Linked DNA regions of Arabidopsis thaliana. The protein of the gene in region 3 interacts with the protein of the main gene of each other region in a pairwise test. Each region holds a gene or a part of one and is shown on either strand. Other genes may lie near its edges. The genes, in order: LBD1, ARR11, SWI3C and LBD10.

Region 1 (4,031 bases), 5.2 Mb from region 3:
TTACTTAGATAACTTTGAAAGTATCCAGAAATCAGAAATGTGGATTTTTTTTTGTTCTTTTTTTCTACATCGTCGGATAAATTCTGAATTTAAGAACTGGGTAATTTCAGACTCGTTGAAATCAAAGTCAATGAGTCAAATATATCATTTATTCGGTACGCTTAGGTTACATCATCAGATTAAATTTGAGCAGATGGTTGTAATCAATAATCCCTTGCCCGTGGCTTGGTATACGTACATTTGGCAACCTTTATGTATTTCCCCTTTCCGGAGGGAATCGCTTACAAATTCTTCGATCGATATGATTGATTCTCAAAGACCAAATATTGATTTGTTGAATTTGTAAAAATAAAATTGTATTGACCGATGTGTTATTAACTTGTATTTTGAAACAAACAAAACAAAAATAACGCAAGAAATGTGTTGCATGGCACAATTTACTTTTTTTTTTTCGCTAGTGAATGCTTTTGTGCTTACTATATGTATAAATTTACATTTTAGTGAATGGTAGCATAATTTTCAATGCACACGTAACGACCCCAATTTTCTTGTCTCCATTCCAACATTAGTGGAATCTTATCACTGATTTGATAGAATTTAACTGCACTAGAGTTATTTGAAAAAGGCCCAAGAATATGATTGGAAGAAAAGGTATTGATGATTTGATCTGAGGATAATCATGACGATACTGTTAGACGTACATTATTTATTGAGATAAATCTGACTAACAAACAATCTCCCAGTGTACACGATGCAAAAGACAATCTTTGACCGATTAAATCAATAAGACTAAATGATGATGAATTGATGATACTAGAAAGAAGAAAATCTTATAAGCCTTAAGTCATTTTCAATAAGGTGTTGAAGATTTAGTTGAGAGTATACGTATAGTAGAAAGAGAGCAATCTGTCGAAGGTGGACGCAAGAGCTTGCACACCCAATAACTCGTTTAGCAATCTAACTGGTTACGTGTCTTCCCTCTATTTGATTCCGAATTTTTCTTCTTAATGTTGGTACGTGAAGACGACTCTCTTATTGAATAAATGATGCTTTGGGACCGCTCGGAATTCTATTTCTTCTAAATGACGACTCTTAACGTAGTTTTGCATTTTCTCCATGCATATATATACGTGGAAAATGGTTAATTTAATTTGGAAAAAATGTGTATGTATAAGTCGTTCAAATTAAACAGAAAAGTCTCATACAATAGATATAACTAATGTATAAAAATGAGTCCCAAGAATAATGGTTAATAAAAACAAAATACGGTTCAGCAAAAATTAGGCAACCTAAAATAAATCACTTGGCCTTTTGTGTTAATTTCTCTATCAGTACTTCAGTAGAATTTACAATTAAGTAAGCACTGAATAAAAATAATAATCAAACTTCACTAGAAGAGAAGTACTCTAGAATTGAATATCTAGGTATTCCAAAGACCTATCGAACCACCTAGCGTAATACACATTTCAATTGAGGTTTTTAACTATGGTTTCTCCCAAATTATAGTATTAATCTTCAATTCTTCATAATCAGAAAGACTATTAAAGAATGTAAGACGAAGAGTAGAATACCATTGGACTAACTAATGATTTTTTAGAGACTAATATAATTGAAACTATACGTAAGGAGAAAAACAAGACAAGAAGAATTTTTTGTTTCTTAAGAAGAAAATTAATTGTGCCAAAGTCAAGCAAACCGTTGAAACATGAAAGCGTAGAGAAATTTAGTAGCCACCGTTACGTGGAAATATGTTTCAACTTTCAATTAGCAAAAAAGCCACGTCATAATTCGAGCTTGTGATGTCAGGGTGGTCACCTCCTTCCCTACATCATTTTGTGTGTCTCCCCTATATATACACTTCCCCACCAAAAAGCACTTCACCTCTCAAAGACTCTACTTACACATTTCTCATCTTCCTCCCCATAATTCACAGTTTTTGCGTTGGTATGGAGAGTAAAAGTGACGCTTCTGTCGCCACCACTCCAATCATATCTTCTTCCTCTTCTCCTCCACCATCACTTTCACCGCGGGTAGTGCTTAGTCCATGTGCTGCTTGCAAAATCTTGAGGCGACGTTGTGCAGAGAGATGCGTTTTGGCACCGTACTTCCCTCCAACGGATCCGGCCAAGTTCACTATTGCACACCGCGTCTTTGGAGCCAGCAACATCATTAAGTTCTTGCAGGTACCTAAATTATCTATATATCTATTGGTGTAATAACTATAAGCTCTTTAGTTCTTAGAAAGAATTACATTAAGAAAGACCCGATTTTATATTAATGATATAGATGGGAATGATTTTCTTGTTCTTATTAGGAAGATACATATATTGAAATGGTTGTTTCGGAAAATGGTTTCATAGGTCATGTGAAAATTGGACCTTACGTAGTTATTTGTCATAAGACTAATGTCAATAATTTCTTCTCACAAAAGCCGCACCACATAACCAAAAAAAAAGTGAAAGTATTGCATATAGTGTCATTGTCAACGTTTTCCTTATCATGCACCTTTCACAAAGTCTTGTAGAAAAATGGTATTTACTCGAATTGGTCAATTAAATACAAAAAAATCCTTACCTTTATGAACGAACACATGATTGATTATTTATCTATATTTTCAGGAACTTCCAGAATCACAAAGAACTGATGCGGTCAACAGTATGGTGTATGAAGCCGAAGCTAGAATAAGAGATCCAGTGTATGGATGTGCAGGTGCCATATACCATTTACAAAGACAAGTGAGTGAACTCCAAGCACAACTTGCAAAAGCTCAAGTGGAGATGGTGAATATGCAATTTCAAAGATCAAATTTACTAGAGCTGATTTATAACATGGACCAACAACAGAAACAAGAACAAGATAATATGTCCTTTGAGAGCAATGATTTGGGATTCCTTGAAGACAAGTCCAACACCAACTCATCAATGTTGTGGTGGGATCCTCTTTGGACATGTTGATCATTACTAAGATTTTGACTACTTCGCTTTAAGGCCCTCTCTAGAACTTTACTCAGGGTTAGTTAGCATACACAAATGTAACATTGTACGGTGAATAAAGAAAAGTAGAGGCGGCTTTTTTAAATTGTTTTTTTGACCGGGTTTTCAATGTTTTTTCCTGCGGTTTTTAGACACAAACCGGAAAGTATACCGGATCTAAACAACCGCAGAGCGGAAAAAAAAAATCTAAAACTAAACGACGTCGTTCGGCTCTTTATCTTGTCACCCTCCTCAGGCGACGGCGACGATGAACCTCCGTTCCAAATCTTCCCGTATCTTTTATGAAACGCGACCGACTCTTCAAGGCCCAAAGAAAAAGAGAATAGTCGGCGGGATAGGGGTATGTTTGTAATTTGGCAAACGAATCCCCATCATAGCTTTATTCCTTACTTCATTCACCCTAGCCGCTTTACTCTCTTGCGTTATCTCCGAGGTAAGCTTTTTCATCACCATCTACGATCTGCCTCTTTCTCTTCTGCTGATCTGTGTTGAATCTGTTTCGATACTTCTCGTTTGTTGTTGTTATTTCTTGGATTCGATTCTCTTTGTTTATAGATCGTTTGGAATTTCTGATCGGTGGTGTAAAGTTTTATCGATTTAGGAGAACAAAGTTTTACAGTGCAATCGTATTGTTTTTTTTCTTCATGCCAGCTGATGATAAACTATAGGATCGATCTGGTTCTGAGATTTTTGTACTGTTCAGTGGATTGTTGATTATATCTTTTGATGTATGTGATATTAATTATCGATTTGATTGGGTAATCCAAGTTGTGGAAACTCTAGGATTGTTTGCTGTATATCTCCTCAATTGCTGATTTGTTTGAATTTAGCTCGCTTAGCTCAGATGATAGGGCACCACAATTTTTGTGGTAGAAATCGGCTTGACTCTCTTTTTCTGCCAACAAAAACAAAAAATAGTCTGAGTCAAACCATTGTAGCAGTACCTAAAATCTCGTTTGTGAACCGTTGTAGCACTACCCAAGTCACCGGAAAGGTAAAACAATGAAGCCGTGGGATTAAACCTTCACAGATCTGTGT
Region 2 (5,574 bases), about 18 Mb from region 3:
TGTTTCTTCTTTTCATTTTCACTAGAATTTTGGTGTTTTTCACCAAAATGATATACAACCGTTTTACAGGGCCTGAGGCTGAACAATTGACACTTGGTTGGTTGATTTTGATGTCTCAACCGTCTCGGTATGGGCTGCAGAAGGTCACTGGATATGACGAGACTACCGCTATTTTGTGCACATTTTCTCTATACATCTCTCACAGAAACAGCTTCTGTTAAATCTCTTGTAACATATAACTTATTGTGTATTGTAGATTTGTTGAAAGAAAGAGCCATTGGTTACAACTTGCAATTTCAACTTTTCTTAGACATTGGTCAAACAATAGTAGTCGAAAATAGGAAAACTTCCCACTATATCTTTCGAAGAAACCCTTAACTAGAACTGTGAACAAGATATGCAAAAGCTTCGTGAAGGTGAGAGCAAGACCATTTGCAGAGATTTAGTAGAATCTCCCTGATTGCTCCAGTAGGTAAAAAATCTAGTTCTGCGCAGTATTGGCGACATCTGACTGTCCGAACATTGCAATATGGTGTGTGTAGCTTCATAAATTGTTTGTTATGAATAAATTAGAGCTTTGTCAGGTAACTAATCCATTGCCTGCATAGAAAGATGTTAGATAGTTCAAAACTCTGAAGTTTCCCATCTTGGATCTGGTGGCAAGTGGCAACTGTTAGATATCTTCGATGTAAAACGTTTCCCGTAACACTCATTTGTATATCTGCTCTAAGATTGTGAACTCTCACATTATTTGATGATAAGGTTATGGGACAGATTCTCAACAGATAAAAGAACATCACATGTGGCAACTGTTAGATATCTTCGATGTAAAACGTTTCCCGTAACACTCATTTGTATATCTGCTCTAAGATTGTGAACTCTCACATTATTTGATGATAAGGTTATGGGACAGATTCTCAACAGATAAAAGAACATCACATGTGTTGGAGTAAGGAGGTAAAATTCCTAAGTTTTGCAATTAGATTCAATGTGTAGTAGAGATCTTTTTTTCATGATATGACATGCAAACTAATTTCCTTCCAGGTGACAGTGAAGATCTTAAGCGACGGTGTGAAACATGTGGCCTTATCACTGTCATCAACCTGTTTGGTGTAATTAGCCTACGACACTCGTGGATTATTGTACAATGCATCCGATCATGGAAGGTTCTTGGGAAAGCAAGATTATTTTCAGGTATACCCACAAAATCTTTCTGCATTACACCAACCAATATACGAAAAGAAGTTATTGGAACAAGGTTAAGATATGAATAAACCTTGGTCTACCATGAAGGAATACTCGTCAGGGTCAGGCAGCCGCTCATTTCCATACCAATTAAGGTGGGCTGGGAGCTCAGATAGGAGTGATGGGCTACTACTGTAATCTTGAAACTGGAGTCCGGTGTTTGCAAGAAAACGCTCGCCTTGAAGCCAAGTCAAGTCTAAGTCAGTGTCTAAAGAAACAGAATGATGTGATTCTGGAAGTTCCCAGTTCAAGCTTCTCAGAATCGCCTCTGTGTTGAACTCCTGCAGCTTCATGGCAGAGGGATCCAAATCTTGAAGGGTTACAGTAGGGATCTTGTCTTGTGGCATGAGAAACTCATCTGCATTCACACTACTGCCTCCTGCTGGTGTCTCATAAGGAGGCTTCATTTCCTCCTCCATGAGAGATGGTGCAGAATTTGCAACATAGGAACTTTGACTTGGCAATGGTTGTTGCTGGAGAAAGCTATTCTCATACAGAACCGGCTTCGATTCAAGGACCTCTGGAACATCATTCCAAGGAAGCAGAGAGTCAAACGCAGAGGAGGAAATGGGAGGATCAAATCCTATACGCGTCTTTTTTGTTTTCGGAGGCATGATCACATCGGTGTTGAGGTCAGACAAAGAAGCTGAAGCAAGTGGCTTTGGATCAATCTCTGTTGCTTTTTGGATCAGAGAATTTCCTCCAGAGAATACATAGCTGCTCCTCCCAGGGCTTTGGTAGCCTGAATTCACTTCGACATCTTTTGGAGATGAATCCGCATTCTTCACGCCACCTGAATAACACTTGAGCTCCTTTCCTTTCTCTAATCTGCTCAGGTAAAGTCTATATTTCTACAAAAACAGAACAAAAAAAAAGTGACGAAAAGCTTAATCTAACACTTGTTCTGAATAATGATGATGACAAGGTAAAGTTTTTACCTGAAGGTGGCTTGCAACATTTTCTCTAGTGAGCCATGGAACATTCATGAGATCCAATATCTTCTTGGGACCAGCTTCTGCCAAACAAGAGACCGGAAAAAATTTCACGGCTCTATGAAGACATGATAATAAAGGGAGGCAAGGGGACATGATAAGAAACCAAAGTCGCCAACGTACTTACTGTGATCGCATCCGATTTGGTTAACGGCGTTGACAAACTTATGATGAAGCTCAAAAGACCAAACAACTCTAGCTTTCTTGGAAGAAGAAGATGATGGATCACTCTCATCTTGAAGAAGCTTCTTCTCAAAGTCAAAGTCTTTTCTCTTTTTCCCAAAAGAAACATCTTCACCACCTCCAAGAAAATGTGCTTCATCGTATCGAGTGATCCAATCCGCTCCTCCTTCGTATCCACAGCCTTCGATATCTCTCACTTCTTGAAGCTTCTTTCTCAGAACATGTTGCCATATAATCTTTAACTCCTTCATTCTTATCGGCTTCAAGAGGTAATCACAAGCTCCGTGTTGCACTCCCTTCATCACTCGGCTTGTTTCGCCGTCCACCGACATCACTACAACGCAAAACACACAAAAATCAATAACCTTTTTCATTTATTACACAACAAGTCAAGATCTTTCTTCTCACTTATTACAGGGAGGTCTAATTCAAGACCAACATGCTCAAGAAGCTTGAAACCATCCATGTCAGGCATGTTCACATCGCTGATCACGATATCATATCCATCTTTACGCTCCCTCAGCAACCTCAAAGCCTCTCTAGCTAATCCACAGGTCGTTACTGCAACATAGGAAAGTAAGGAGATATTTTAGTAAATCCAACTGTTGGGGAAAACATAAGATAGAAGAAGAAGAAAGAGACCTTCGTAAGAACACTTCTTGAGCATTTTCTCGAGAATCTTGAGCCAAGTTGGATCATCGTCTACGACAAGAACCCTTAGACCGACGGGAGAGAAGCCGCTTTTCTCCATGATCGCCGGCGAAAACAAGAAAGAGAGAGAGAAAGAAAAAGAGCAGAGAAAGTGGCGAGAGTTCTTTTTTTGGAAAGGAGAAAGTGGGAGTGGGTTTTTGTTTGCGTTTTATTATGAAACGACGACACTTCAAATATTTTGGCGTAGTTTAGATAACGGTCACCATGGCGTATGTTAGGTTTTATCTCCCGTCGTACTGGAATTTCCAAATTTCTCTCTGTTTTTAATTTGAAAACGAGGCTATAAAATATTAATTTATTTGTGGATTACTTTTGAAGAAGGAATTTAGTTCGGTCTAAGTTCACTGCCAAAAAAAAGTTGTTGAAACTCTTTTCTCTCTCAATTTGTAAGTTGACGTCTCTCACTGCTCCATAATCCCATATTCTTCCAATAATTTAGCTTTTCAAATTGTTCTTAAGATATTGACATGATAATATTGTGGATTATATCACCTTTTTATAGTTATTCTATAAAACTAAAATAATTATCTTCTACACTCTTTGGTATTTTATACGTAAATATGGTGATCGTATTTAGATTTAAACTTCTATATTTATGGGATCGTATTCAGAGTGCATCATCATTTTATCATGTAAAAATATTGACAAAACACACACAAGCAACTCTATATATAATGCAGTGTCTTGCTTAGATGTGTGCAGGGCTAGGACAAGTTTATAAAATGTGGCTATCATCATAGTTTTTAAAAATAATCATAATACTGAATCGGAAAAAATATTAGTATCAAAAACTTACAATGTAAAAAAATCAATAATACGTTATTCTTTTTGTTTTTATATGTTTTTCTAATAATGTTATTTGTTTTAAATATTTATATTTACTAATTATGATGTATTACTAAATGATTCTTACCAAAAAAAATATATTACTAAATGATGTGTTTTCAAGATAAGAAAATGGTCTATAGATAAAGGTATAGTTAAGAATATAATTTTCACGAAAAAAGTTTCATTTTAACAATTATTTGTTATCAAAATAACAAAATTGATAAGCTTATTATTTTATAAAAATTTGGCCTTTAATTTAAACTTTTTTTTTGGCTTTAGGCATTTGCCTTTTTGCCATAGGGTAGTCACGGCTCCTATATAATGCAAAGTTTTACATGTATATTAGTGTGTCTGATAACCTAATGTTAAATTAGATTTAAAAAACTATCGTTCATACATCAAGAACATAATGTGTTTGAGAAAGCTTAAAAGTTAAAACATTATGTCTCAAAATTTTTAAAAAATCAGCTTCTCGCCGCAAACAACTTAAATTACATATATGCATGCAGCATGTACGTCACGTCTAACACAAAATAAACTCTTTAACTAGTGAGGTTTCTCGACTCGGTTTAATAATGCTCGTAAATCATCAAATCCTTAACAAGTCGATGTAATGTTTAACCTTAATTAAGGCTTAAAATGTTTGATCTTTGACTCTGAAAGACTTTCAATGTTTGATCTTTGACTATAAAAGACTTCAAATGTTTTGACCTTTATATTCTATTGAAAGAAAATAAGTAGAAAGACAAAAGAATAAAGGAAAATGGTACACAGCTTGTCATGCACAAAGCTTTTTTATGGATAAGGACGTGGCCCGTAGAGACTTGACAAAACACACAACATATATACTTCCTCATTAATTTCTATTATTATATACGTACAAGACAGCTAACTAATTGCACAAACTTTTTGGCCATGATAAAAAAGAATAACGCATTATAGATTTAGAAACAGTGTCGTTGTTTGGGAGTTTGTGGATTTGCACAGTACACTGGCCATGTTTCTGTTGATGGGATCAGGGACGAGGTTTGCATGTGACCTGCATTTAAATAGCTAGTCTCACTTTCATGATTACTATTTCATTACTGTCCAACTTTCATATCATATATTATATATTATTGAGATGTAGAATGAGAATCAAAGTCTATCTAATATACTGTAAGAAACATGTAAAAATGTCTAACAAATTTATGGTAATTCAGTGATTAAAAACTGCGAATATTGCACAAAATCTTACGTATATTTTTTACAGTGCCGGCTCTAGGGGAGTGCTACAGGAGCAAAAGCACAGGGTCCTCAAAAAAAATTTCAATTTTCTTTAAGGTTTTAGGGTCCAAAAATTTTAGAAATTAAAAACCAATATTAACTAAAGCCAGTTTTTATAAATCAGCACAAGGTCTTCAAAAAGTTTGAGCCGGCCCTGATTTTTTACCAAAAAAAACAAAAAATGTTACGCATACTTTTCTAACATCTTTTTGATTGTACAAATTGTTTTCAAAATAGGTCGAAAAAAGTAAATATAAATTTCCTTGAATCGGAATCTTCCGACTAACATAAAAATTAAAATGTCTCTCTTTATCTAAAAAAGAGAAGAAACAAAAAAATTATTCTGCTT
Region 3 (6,845 bases):
CTCCCTTCGCTCCTCCTCCGTCTTTCAAGCTGAAATCGCCTTCAGATTCCGACTCCAACTGTTCAGCATCTCCGACTCCATATTTCCGATCTTCTTCTCCTCGTGCCGGTGGCTCATTGCCTCGGTGTTTTTTTCCCAAGTCATTATTTGGGTTGAAAAAGAGTAAGAGCGGCGATTTAAAAAAGACCGGTCAGCAGGAACCATCATCAACAACATCGGAGTCTGACAATTTCTATGAATCGGGAACAACGCTTTCTCCGTCGGAAGAAGATTCTAGCCAGGGATCGCCGGTATCTTCGAGGTGGAGTTCGCCGAAATCGTCCTTCTCTTCTCGCCGTGGTTCGCCGCTAAAACGGACTGATTCGGATTTAAGCTCTTATGAGAAAAAAACCATGTTAATGATAGCTCGTTCCCGCCTTGGTTAAATGGTTAGGCTTAAAAAAAAAAAAACATCTTAGAGATTAATCAAATAAAAATGATTTTGAGTTTTTCATTGCGACAAGAACGAATATGTTACATGTAGATTTGTAATGAAATTGTCTATATATTATCGTCAAAATGAATCGAGTTAAAAGACCCCTAATGTTTGAAGAGTAGAGAAATGGTTGTGGGAAAGAGAGACATTAAGATTGGTGACTGTTTTAATTCACAATGATGATGATGATGGTTTGATACTACAAGACACTAACTTGGAACAAGACTACGGTCTCAAAGCCAAATAACTTATCTTTAAAAATAACAAGGTGAAATAAATATGGATACTGATAAGCTAAATAAGCTAGAGAAAGATGGATCTTAGTTTAAGCCTAAGCCGGACCCTGAGCCTGAACCTGTGGAAGACCTAACCATCGGGTGACTAAACGAAGGCTGGTTGATCGATGCTGCTCCAGCTGCTGCAGGGTTATTTAGTTGGTTGTTGCCAAACATGACGTTTGGTGAAGCTGTTGATCCTGCATTGGTCTGTATTGCATTGAGAGGTAATCTCGGGCCAAACGAGAAAGCTTGCTGTTGTTGTTGTTGTTGTTGTTGTTGTTGTTGTTGTTGTCGTGCCATGAAATGCATCTGTGCTTGAACTTGCGGGTTGTTGCTGAATCCTGGGATTATGCTTGGTTGAGAAGTTGCGGAAGCTTGTTGTTGCTGATGTTGCTGATGCATGAGAGAATTGATGTTGTTACCACCTGTGGATAGAGACATGCCTTGGAGATTATTAGTCTGTGGAGAGATTCCTCCAGGAGATCCAAATCTTGCTGAGAGCATACGAGCCCGTTCTGCAGAAAATCTCTGACGGGTTTTCTCTACTTGTTCGCATTCTTTCATCAACAGTGTTTCAATTTCTGCGAACTGCTTTAATTTCAGCTCCATCCTCTTCAGCTGCGGTTTTTACTCAGATCAGCAATAAACACTATACAACAAAATAAATCAACTACCTACAGTAATTCTCATCAGCAACTGGTTCTGCTATTTTACCTGGTGATTAACGATATTAGCAGAAAGTCTCTGGATTTCGCGTTCCTCATGATCAGCAAACAATTTTGCTTTTGTTGCTGCAGCTGATAGACCGGCTCTAAATGCTGCCATAACCTTATCCTGTGGCAGTGGAGTCTGCGCTTCTGCTCCGTTTTGGCTTGATGTTTTGTGTGCTCCTGAGTTTTTTTTACAATTAAAGCATGTTGGTGTCGCAGATTAGGTTAAAACAAAAGAGCAAAGAATCACTGTAAAGAGAACAATCAAATAACTTCCTTACCATCTTGCTGTTGATTTTCTCCATCAAGCAAGCTGGCTTCTTTCCCTTGCATTCCCTCAGATTTCATCCTAGATCAAGAAGTTTCAGAATAGTCCATAGTATTATTAAACTGAATCACACTACAGAGAATTTATATTGGATAGAGACTATATAATACACTAACCTATCGTCCTCAGATAAAACCGAGAGGGATTCATGGGCACAGGACGCAGCAACTCGAGGTCCAACAGCTGATGCCAAAAATGCAACCTAAAATATTTTGGTATCAGGATCCTCATATCTCCAAACTTATGTGCAATACAGGACCATTCTCCACTCAAAATATGCATACAATTGAGCTCTCAGATATAATCGATTCATGGATCAGAGATATCTCTAACTGGTGAGATCATAAGGATAATAAGAAGCGCATATGAAATCTGCATCGGAAAAAAGTTCACAAACCAATGCCATAACCGGATTCGGAGACTTCACAAATGGAAGCTTGATCTCAGTGTCAGAACCTTGCTCGGAATATCCTGCAGACGCAAGCGGACAATTAGTATGGCATGTCAAAGGAAATAACTATGGAAAGTAATTCATTGCTACAAATTGAATAAAACAAAATCACCAGGTAAATCCCCATTTGAATCTGTTCCTTTGTGGTCATATCCATTTGTAGGGTTTTCCGTATTAGTTACACCAGAAACCTCAACATTATCTAATAGACCATCCTCCACAGGTAATCGAAGAAAATGAAGAATGCATTGAGCTTTTGACTTGGAACCAACATGATCAGCAATTTGAACCCAATTTTCATTGTAGAGTTCCACAGCTTCAAGAAGCAAGAGAGTTTCCTGATCAGTCCAATTGTCTCCATCTTGATCGCCATAAAATTTCATTGGATCCACTCTTACAAAGTCAAGACAAGAATGTCCAACAACAAATCTTCCATGGTGAAAACAATCACAGCATAAGAGTATATCCCCCTGTAAAGTAGAGATGAAGATCCTTTAGTTAGAAGCGGTCCAGTATCCGAGACAGTAAGCAAGATAAAGCTTGGAGTCTATTACATCACTGGGTGCAAAAAAGAATCAGATAATGATACACAAAGAACAGTACGTAAGGGGAAGCAGCCTAAGAACCTTCTTTTGCGATTGGAAGTACACAGTTGGAAGCGGTCGAGAACAATGGTTGCAATGACTATCACATAGGTGTTCACGAATTCTGATGTCCAAGTCAGGGCTGTCACCATCCAAACTTGGCAAGGATGAATAGACTTCACCCCCCTTGTGTCTACAGTTGGGCTTGTCAAATTTGATCAAACTATCAATAGATGTTAAAGCAGCAGACGGCACATTGACCTCGCCATTTGTGTCCTCCCTCACATCCGATACATCTCTCAAAGGGCCAGGATGTGACTGGGCAGTGGCACAGTAATTGATTATTCCCCAGTGATCAAGAAAACGGAAAACTCGTGCAAAATCTTCAATGTCAACACCATCTACCAATCCTTGGCAATCAGAAATCGTCAGTGTCTTTTCAGGGTTCTCTACATATTTGGAAACAATGGCGTTCCTGAATTCCATATAACTTTCGGGTGTATGATTTGGCGATTTCCCAGAGAAAAACTGTGGCACCACTTGCCTTTCAAGTCGATCTACTGTGTTTGGTGCAAACCAATCTGCTCAAATGTAACAGCAAAAGTAGAAGAATAAATTCGAGCATTGGGAACAAAAATATCAGAAAATAAAAATAAAATAAGAGGAGAATCTCGATATATTTGAGCCATAGGACTCCAGGAACAAAACCCAAACGAATTAGAAGAACATCACTTGCATAGTCTATTCAAGTTGTACTTCTGAGATAAGACACCTAAGGCTACTTCAAGCCAGCAGGTACTCTAATTTATCATGTACAAAAGTTATAATACCTCTTCCTTTCCATCAGACAGAACATGGGAACATAGAGAAACATCTGATATGAAATTGAGTCGCGTTCAGATTAATGTAAACTAAGAACCAGGCACTAGACAAAAGGAAGATAAGAACTTATACGTTAAGGAGATACCGGCATACAAACCTGTTTTGACTAATTCTCATTCCAATCACAAGATATATACTACAATACTACCAACCAGCAAAAGCTGATGCTGCATAAAGCCTAACCTCTAACATAAATGCGCGTATCAAGAGGAAGAAAAAACACACCTGAATGCATAGGCAAGACATGAACCAGATCCCCAAACCGTTTAACAACTCCTTCTCCATCCATAATAGGTGGTGGAGAGATAACATAAGCCGAAGACGATCCATCACTCCTCTCAAGATCAAGAGAATCAGCAGGTACAGTAGATAACGCTTGCAATTGCCCAAACGAAATGTTCTCCAGAGCTGGAAGTGAACCTTGCCCTCTAGTCTCCCCTATCAAACCAGCTCTCTCAGCCGCCACAACAGCCATTACAGACGCGTGTGGCCGGATCACAACACGCTTAACCACTGCCGGGAAATCAGAGATGCGCGAACCAGAATCTTCAACTACCTCGCCAATACCAAGTCCCGGATCGGGAGTTGCGCCGCCGTTTTGCTGAAGCTCATCGGCATTTTCAACGTCATCCATTTCTTCGTTGTTGTTGTTGTTATTCTCTTCGTCTTCTTCCTCCATATCTTCCTCCTCTTGTTTCGGTTTCCTCGCCGCCGATAACCCCCCTCTCTTCTTCCTTTTCCATTTCCCTCTTCTATCTGCGACAGAATTGTAAAAAGTGTAATTCAATTCACACGAATTCTCGAAATACCCATCACTACGATCTATGTGGGTAAGTCAAATCCCAATTTAAATTTGGATTTTGAGAGAGATAAAGATGTGAAACAGCAATTTACCTTCAGAAGCTGGCATTTTTGTGGATGAAGATAGAGAAATAGAGGTTTTGGGTTCTGTGGAATCGAAGCAAGACCCTTAGTAAAAAGAATTGCTTTCTTTGTCTTCTCTCCTCCGAGTCGTTCTGATTTCCAGCTCTCGAGCTAAACACCAAACCTTTTTCTCGCAATTTCTTTCACCATTTCCTTCATTAATCTCTATATATTAATTCATTCTCCACGACGACCTAACCTTCTCGACAAACAAGAGGGTTCTGATTTCGAAATTCAAGCTTCGTTGACCAATCCAAATTTTGGTTTAACTTCGGTTAAAGTCAACTTTACTTCGGTTTTATTTTTCAATTTTGAATGAGAAAAACCGAATCAATTATTTAGTTCGGTTCTTAAAGTTCAAATTGGTTAAACCGGTTTAAATTGATACATTAGTCGACCGTCGCGCATTAATACTGGTGTGGTGGTTCCGTTAACGAGCAACGGCGATGAAGAGACCTCGACCTACATCTCAGCCGTCGATCTCTTCCACCGTCAAACCACCACTGTCTCCGCCGGTCACACCGATTCTCAAACAGAAGCTACACAGAACAGGAACACCTAAATGGTTCCCGTTAAAACTAACCCACACGGAGCTGACGTTGCCGTTAACTTTTCCGACGGGTCAAACATTCCGGTGGAAGAAAACTGGAGCGATTCAGTATAGCGGAACGATTGGGCCTCACTTAGTCTCTCTTAGACAACGTCCAGGAGACGACGCAGTTTCCTACTGCGTCCATTGTAGCACAAGCCCTAAATCCGCGGAGCTTGCGTTGCTCGATTTTCTCAATGCTGAGATCTCGTTAGCTGAGCTATGGTCTGATTTCTCGAAAAAAGATCCTCGTTTCGGAGAGCTAGCGAGACATCTCCGTGGCGCTCGTGTGTTGAGGCAGGATCCGCTCGAGTGCTTGATACAGTTTTTGTGCTCATCGAACAATAACATTGCGAGGATTACGAAGATGGTGGATTTTGTTTCGTCTTTAGGGTTACATTTGGGTGACATTGATGGATTTGAGTTTCATCAGTTCCCATCATTGGATCGATTATCTAGGGTTTCTGAGGAAGAGTTTAGAAAGGCTGGTTTTGGTTACAGGTGATTTCATCACTCTCTAATGGTTGCATTATGTTGAATTAGACATTTAGGCTAAAACTTTGCTTGAAGCTTATACTTTTATTTACTCTGTGGCTATACATTCATAGAATTGAAGCTAATGTTTGGTCTAAGCTAGATAATCATTGTGTGGCCGTTTCTCTGATTGGTTCTGATCTCATTTGAAAACTCTCATTCTGGTTTATCTTGTGGTGAGCAGAGCCAAATACATAACAGGTACAGTGAATGCTTTGCAAGCAAAGCCAGGTGGTGGTAATGAATGGCTTCTTTCTCTGCGCAAAGTCGAACTCCAAGAGGCAGTTGCTGCGCTGTGTACATTACCTGGTGTTGGTCCGAAGGTAGCAGCTTGCATAGCTCTGTTTTCTCTTGATCAGCATAGTGCTATTCCGGTTGACACACATGTCTGGCAGGTAACAAAGTCCATCGGTTTCTATGTATTGTACTTACTTAATTGAGATCCAATTACATAATGGTGATGATGACTTCGGGCAACTTTTTTTTTGTTCTGTTTTGGATAATGGATCAGATCGCAACAAATTATCTACTGCCAGACCTTGCTGGTGCAAAACTGACACCTAAACTCCATGGCCGAGTTGCAGAAGCCTTTGTGAGTAAATATGGTGAATATGCTGGTTGGGCTCAAACATTGCTTTTCATTGCCGAGTTACCTGCACAAAAAACTCTCTTGCAATCGTTTTCCCAGCCCATTAACAAACTGGATGAGTCTGCAGAAGTTAATGAAACTAGCTGTGATACGTTGAAGCCATGACTATGTGTCTACCTAAGCTACGAGGAATCGTTTTCACAACCCATTCTTGATGCGTCAAGTCCAGAAACTTGACCTTGGAAGAGCTAAGAAAATTCTGAAGCTGATGCAGTATTTGGCTCCCTGGCAAATGAGCGTAGTTATTTGTTATGATCATTGTTTACTAAGGAACCAATCTTGATATGTACTTGTAACTTTACATTCAAACTTCCAAATTAAATTCTAATTGTTTGTTCCCTTTGCAATTCTCTTGATTTGAAATGAGAATTTTTTCCTTTTATCTATTTCTTTTGTCAAAAAACAAAACTAAATTTCGTCGAAATTAAATTTCTATAAGAA
Region 4 (4,520 bases), on a different chromosome or scaffold from region 3:
AAATTGCATAAAAGCCATATCGTTATAAGTGTAAGGTGATTTACTACTCTCTACCAAAAAAAAAGTTTAAGGTGATTTACAAGTATGTAATTCTGTTGTTGGGCAGGCGAAGATATTAGGGTCCGTCTCATAATTGAAGACCCAGTATATTTTGTTGTTGGGCCGAGCTCGGCCCTTAAACTGATAAAAAAACAAAACAAAAAAACACGAAACATTTTATCAGAGCCAGGTTTCGATCCTGGGACCTGTGGGTTATGGGCCCACCACGCTTCCGCTGCGCCACTCTGATTTGATGTTAACTAAGCTACAAATATGATATGTATACATTTACTTTAGGTAAACGTTAAATAGCCCGTATTTTACTGTACGCTTTTATTCTTAACTTCAAAACTAATTTGTTTCCGATACGATGATTAAACGTTTTTCTCCTTTCTCCAATACTGTATTTAACGTTTTCAAGAGACACAATTATAAGTTGCGTGGCAGAATTGAAAATTTTGATTAGTGTGTAACGACAAAATCGCAAAATGATAAAAACAGAATGCATGGATAATATCTCTGCTCTGCTCAATCGGTAATTCCTTCATAAACTCTTTTAATCTTACCATTGTTGAAAATATTTTTGAAAAAAGAAAAATAATTAACAAGTGGTTCATTACGGCATGTCCCTCATGACTACAAGTAAAGTCTATCCCAATCAGAGTACATTAGGTTTCATGCTGAGGTTGTATGATCATATCATTTGCTTGCTTTGGTTGGCTTCAAAAATAATACACAATCCATTCTCTGAAAATAGCTCGAAAACTTCTCAACCATAGCAAAAATCCGAGTCGATTCTGTGGCATTATAGACAATTGATGCGAATTCAGATTGCTTAATTTGTAGATGCAAATAGCGAGAATGAATAATACCATTTGATTATTAAAAAAAAAAACCAAATAGATCCTCAAGAGTTAAGTAAACTATCCAAGAAAATAGGAATTTTTTTTTGTTCTCCTAAATGCATTTAGGTCTTAAAAACTAGCTTCCTTGTTCTCAGACATCCTCCATTTAACCGGTGGCTCAAGCTCTTCCTCCTCCTCTTCGTCATGAAGATTCTCTTGTCCCATTGGTTGCATCAAGAACTGTCCTTCCTCTGTTTGTTCTTGACCTTCTTGTAATGGAGGCTGAAGCATAAGCTGTGTCTGAAGCTGATCATGGTTGATATGACCATGCTCTGTCTCTTGACCCATCTGATAAGCATCACCAAAGCTTCCTAAAGCAAGAGATGGTCCAGACAACGAACCACCAGCACCTTGATCATTCACATCCATTTGGTTAAAACCCGTGGCTGTAACCGAACCATTGTTGTCTATTCCGTAACCATTGAACATCCCTTGTTGATCTCCTCTCTCCAACATCATTGCAGCCATTCTCTGTGCATCAGAAGCTATGAATTGCAACTGCTCATCTTGCGGTTGTTGATGATGATGTTGCTGAGACATGTTTGGTTCGCGTATCATCAAAGGTTCTCCTTGAGGGATCACTCCTGGTGGCATTCCTTCCATAGACATCATGAAATTGGGAGGAGGATTGTTACCTATAGGAGGAAGATAAGGCGGCGGAATCACAGCATCGGGTCCCAAGTAACCAACAAGCTCTTCTTTAGCAGTGAGAAGATCTTGTTGAATTTTCTTGAGGTATTGTTGTAAAAAAGAAATGAGACCAACACATCCATAGATTGGGTCACGGATACGCGCTTCCGCTTCATAAAAGAGGGAATTAACAGTGTCTTCGCGTTGATCAGGTGGAAGATCGTTGAGGATCTTGGTTACATTGCTTGCTCCAAAAACTCGGTGAACAAAGATAAACTTTTGAGGATTAGTTGGTGGAAAATACGGCGCAAACACACATTCTTGAGTGCATTTACGCCTCAAGAGCTTACATGCTGCACAAGGTGTTGAAGCCATCCCCACTTAAGACACAACACTATCAAAAATTTAAGAATGGAATTAAGACAAAGAGAACAAGGGAAATAACATGTAAGAAATATCTTGAAGCACAAGAAACACAAAATCATATACGTTTTAGCTTTCAACACAAGAAACCAAAAACCAGGCAAGAACATTTACATCACCCTTTGAATCAACCACATTAGATCAACTTTCTCAACAACAAAAAAGAAACAGAACTATGAAAATTTAATTATGAAAAAGAAAACATAGTTATGAAATTAAATCAATTTTCAACCAAATCAATCAATCTATATATATGAGAGAATTAAGAAATGTGATCAAATAAAATTAAAGAATCAAGAAATCGCACCCGCTCGTTCGAGAACACCGATCCTGTTCTCTTATGACCTTGGAGGATGGTACCTGAAATAACATTACTATTTAGAAAAATTCAACCAAAAAAATTGAAATCAGAATGATCACCTAAAATAATATAGAATTACTGGATTTTTGGGAGAGAGTGAGAGAAAATGAAGGAGAAAAAAAGACAGAGATTTGCCAAGTACAGTGCCTGAGGAATCGTGAAGATTGATTACAAAACTAAGGAACAAATGACGGAAATGTTTCTGAGAAAATTTTAAGGAGACAAAAATGAGATTTAGAAAACCTTAAAACACATCAACAAGAAAGAGAGAAAGATAGAGACATCGTGTTACAAAGTTACACACGTGTGGTCAAATTTAAATCTAAACCGCTTATGCAAATTGTTTTTTTTTTTGTGACTGATAAAAAATTTGAAGTATCATTTGATAAGTTAGCAATGATATTTTAAGCTGCATAATTAGTAGAAGACTAATTCAAATTTCATAGGAAAAGAAAATCAAATTTGTTTACAATGGAGAAAAAGTGAGTTATTTTTAGATATTTCTTTTATATTTTTAACTGATTTACTAGGTCTTGAATTTTTAACTTTCAAATTTAGAATCTAAAAAAATAATATACCCCATTCTTTAGCATTTTTTACAAGAACTCTTCAAATAAAGAATGAGAAATTAGCATTTAAAATTTGTGAAATTTATATAAAAGGATCATTTGAAAAGTATAATTCATTACTAGTTACGAATAGTATTTTTACTGTCTCTAATACATCATTGATTCAATATGATACAATGTAATTAGTAAAACATTAATTAATGATAACAAAAGTGTATTAGAGTTTTAATATAAAAAATATTAGAGTCTGTAAATATTTCATTGATTTAAACTTCTACAATATAATGTATTCAGTGAAGGTACAACCTGATAATGCAGAAGTTTGACAACTGAAACATAGAAAATTTAACTTGAACGGGTTATAGATATTTCATTCTTGTAACTAATATTCTTTAGTAATTTACATGAAGAGTTCATATAGATACTAGAGAATAGCTTATTCTTCCTCTCTATTTTTTGCCTCCAATAATAGCATTATAAAAGTATAAAATTGAAAGAGTAAAGAAGATAAATCAACGTTCCTAACTACTTTTCATTGATTTAAACTTGATGAAATAAAATCAAGAACATTTACTTTAAATTCTCTAAATACTTTATTGATTTACAAAACTTGATACAATATTAAGAGTCAAGATTTAGTTGATAATAACACAAGAATATTATGTCTTGAATTTAACTTGAATGGTTGATAAATATCTTTAAGAAAACTAAAAAAAATCTTATTTAGTATTGATACTATTTATTTTTTTAATACATTGATACTTGTAACTTATGATTATAATTATATATTATAATATATGTTTTATAGTTTTATATAAGTTTTGTGATTTTAAGACATTATGATCAAGACTTTAAATGCAAAATAAAAATTGTTTTGATGTTAATAATATTATTCAACTTTAAACTTGAGGCTTGGTAAACTTAAAAATGAAATGTGCTTTGAAAATGCTATAAGCCATAAGCTATAAGAGCCACACAATTTACTTATTTCCGATAAAAATCAAAACCGAAGCAAAATAGACCACATAATTCTGATCTTCTTCATCTCTAGGTATATGGTTTATGATATTACAAAACATAATTAACAGCAAAAATTTAGACAAATATTTCTTTAACTCCAACACAAAAGTACACATAGCATTAGGTTATTCCTAAGATTTCTGGGCTTCTGGTCCTAAAATCCCATTCACTACTGACGTAGCGACAAGAACTCCGACGAACTCAGCCGCCACGACGGCTCCAGCTTGTGTCAATCCATTAAAGCTAACCGCCGTCACGATTTCCTTCTCTGCCGTCTCTACACCTCTCTCCGCCGCTTCTAATCCTTTCTCCGCCGCATCAACGCCTTTCTCCGCCGTCTCAAAGCCTTCTTTCACGATCTCCACCGCTTCTTCTTCTGCTTTCTTCAGTTTCTTTCTTATACCAAATAACGGAATATTCTCCGCCATTGATGCAGGCTGAAGTCCCGTCACTACCGTCGCTGCCGTCAACGAAAATAACAGATTCCTGCGAGAGGCGCCGGTCAGCGAGAACGAAGAAAGCGCGGGTTTGTTAGAATGCGCCGCTCGTGGGCTAACATGCGCGGTTCTTGCG

The links.
Region 1: the proteins of SWI3C (region 3) and LBD1 interact in a two-hybrid assay, tested with the Arabidopsis thaliana proteins (one large-scale study listed by BioGRID).
Region 2: the proteins of SWI3C (region 3) and ARR11 interact in a two-hybrid assay, tested with the Arabidopsis thaliana proteins (one large-scale study listed by BioGRID).
Region 4: the proteins of SWI3C (region 3) and LBD10 interact in a two-hybrid assay, tested with the Arabidopsis thaliana proteins (one large-scale study listed by BioGRID).

What each region holds. Positions count from the first base shown.
Region 1 is NC_003070.9:2,440,678-2,444,708, forward strand, and holds LBD1 (LOB domain-containing protein 1), read left to right. Parts: upstream 1-1,892; 5' UTR 1,893-1,946; coding exon 1,947-2,183; intron 2,184-2,618; coding exon 2,619-2,954; 3' UTR 2,955-3,069; downstream 3,070-4,031. Other genes in the region: AT1G07902 (uncharacterized protein), read left to right, coding at 3,241-3,333, 3,966-3,987, 4,002-4,031; AT1G07901 (uncharacterized protein), read right to left, coding at 3,294-3,446.
Region 2 is NC_003070.9:25,375,735-25,381,308, forward strand, and holds ARR11 (response regulator 11), read right to left. Parts: upstream 3,484-5,574; 5' UTR 3,172-3,483; coding exon 3,063-3,171; exon of another isoform or gene 2,982-3,062; coding exon 2,829-2,981; exon of another isoform or gene 2,795-2,828; coding exon of another isoform or gene 2,755-2,794; coding exon 2,365-2,754; intron 2,261-2,364; coding exon 2,184-2,260; intron 2,097-2,183; coding exon 1,260-2,096; 3' UTR 945-1,259; downstream 1-944. Other genes in the region: AT1G67700 (multidrug resistance protein), read left to right, coding at 70-76. UniProt on the Arabidopsis thaliana protein: Transcriptional activator that binds specifically to the DNA sequence 5'-[AG]GATT-3'. Functions as a response regulator involved in His-to-Asp phosphorelay signal transduction system.
Region 3 is NC_003070.9:7,619,361-7,626,205, forward strand, and holds SWI3C (SWITCH/sucrose nonfermenting 3C), read right to left. Parts: upstream 4,807-6,845; 5' UTR 4,619-4,806; coding exon 4,603-4,618; intron 4,465-4,602; coding exon 3,934-4,464; intron 3,408-3,933; coding exon 2,869-3,407; intron 2,713-2,868; coding exon 2,355-2,712; intron 2,263-2,354; coding exon 2,189-2,262; intron 1,994-2,188; coding exon 1,908-1,993; intron 1,813-1,907; coding exon 1,745-1,812; intron 1,644-1,744; coding exon 1,468-1,643; intron 1,372-1,467; coding exon 796-1,371; 3' UTR 641-795; downstream 1-640. Other genes in the region: AT1G21695 (hydroxyproline-rich glycoprotein family protein), read left to right, coding at 1-425; OGG1 (8-oxoguanine-DNA glycosylase 1), read left to right, coding at 5,079-5,722, 5,940-6,150, 6,267-6,509. UniProt on the Arabidopsis thaliana protein: Component of a multiprotein complex equivalent of the SWI/SNF complex, an ATP-dependent chromatin-remodeling complex, which is required for the positive and negative regulation of gene expression of a large number of genes.
Region 4 is NC_003071.7:10,059,229-10,063,748, forward strand, and holds LBD10 (LOB domain-containing protein 10), read right to left. Parts: upstream 2,595-4,520; 5' UTR 2,506-2,594; exon of another isoform or gene 2,358-2,505; 5' UTR 2,305-2,357; intron 1,969-2,304; 5' UTR 1,950-1,968; coding exon 1,014-1,949; 3' UTR 837-1,013; downstream 1-836. Other genes in the region: homolog of Synechocystis YCF37, read right to left, coding at 4,079-4,520.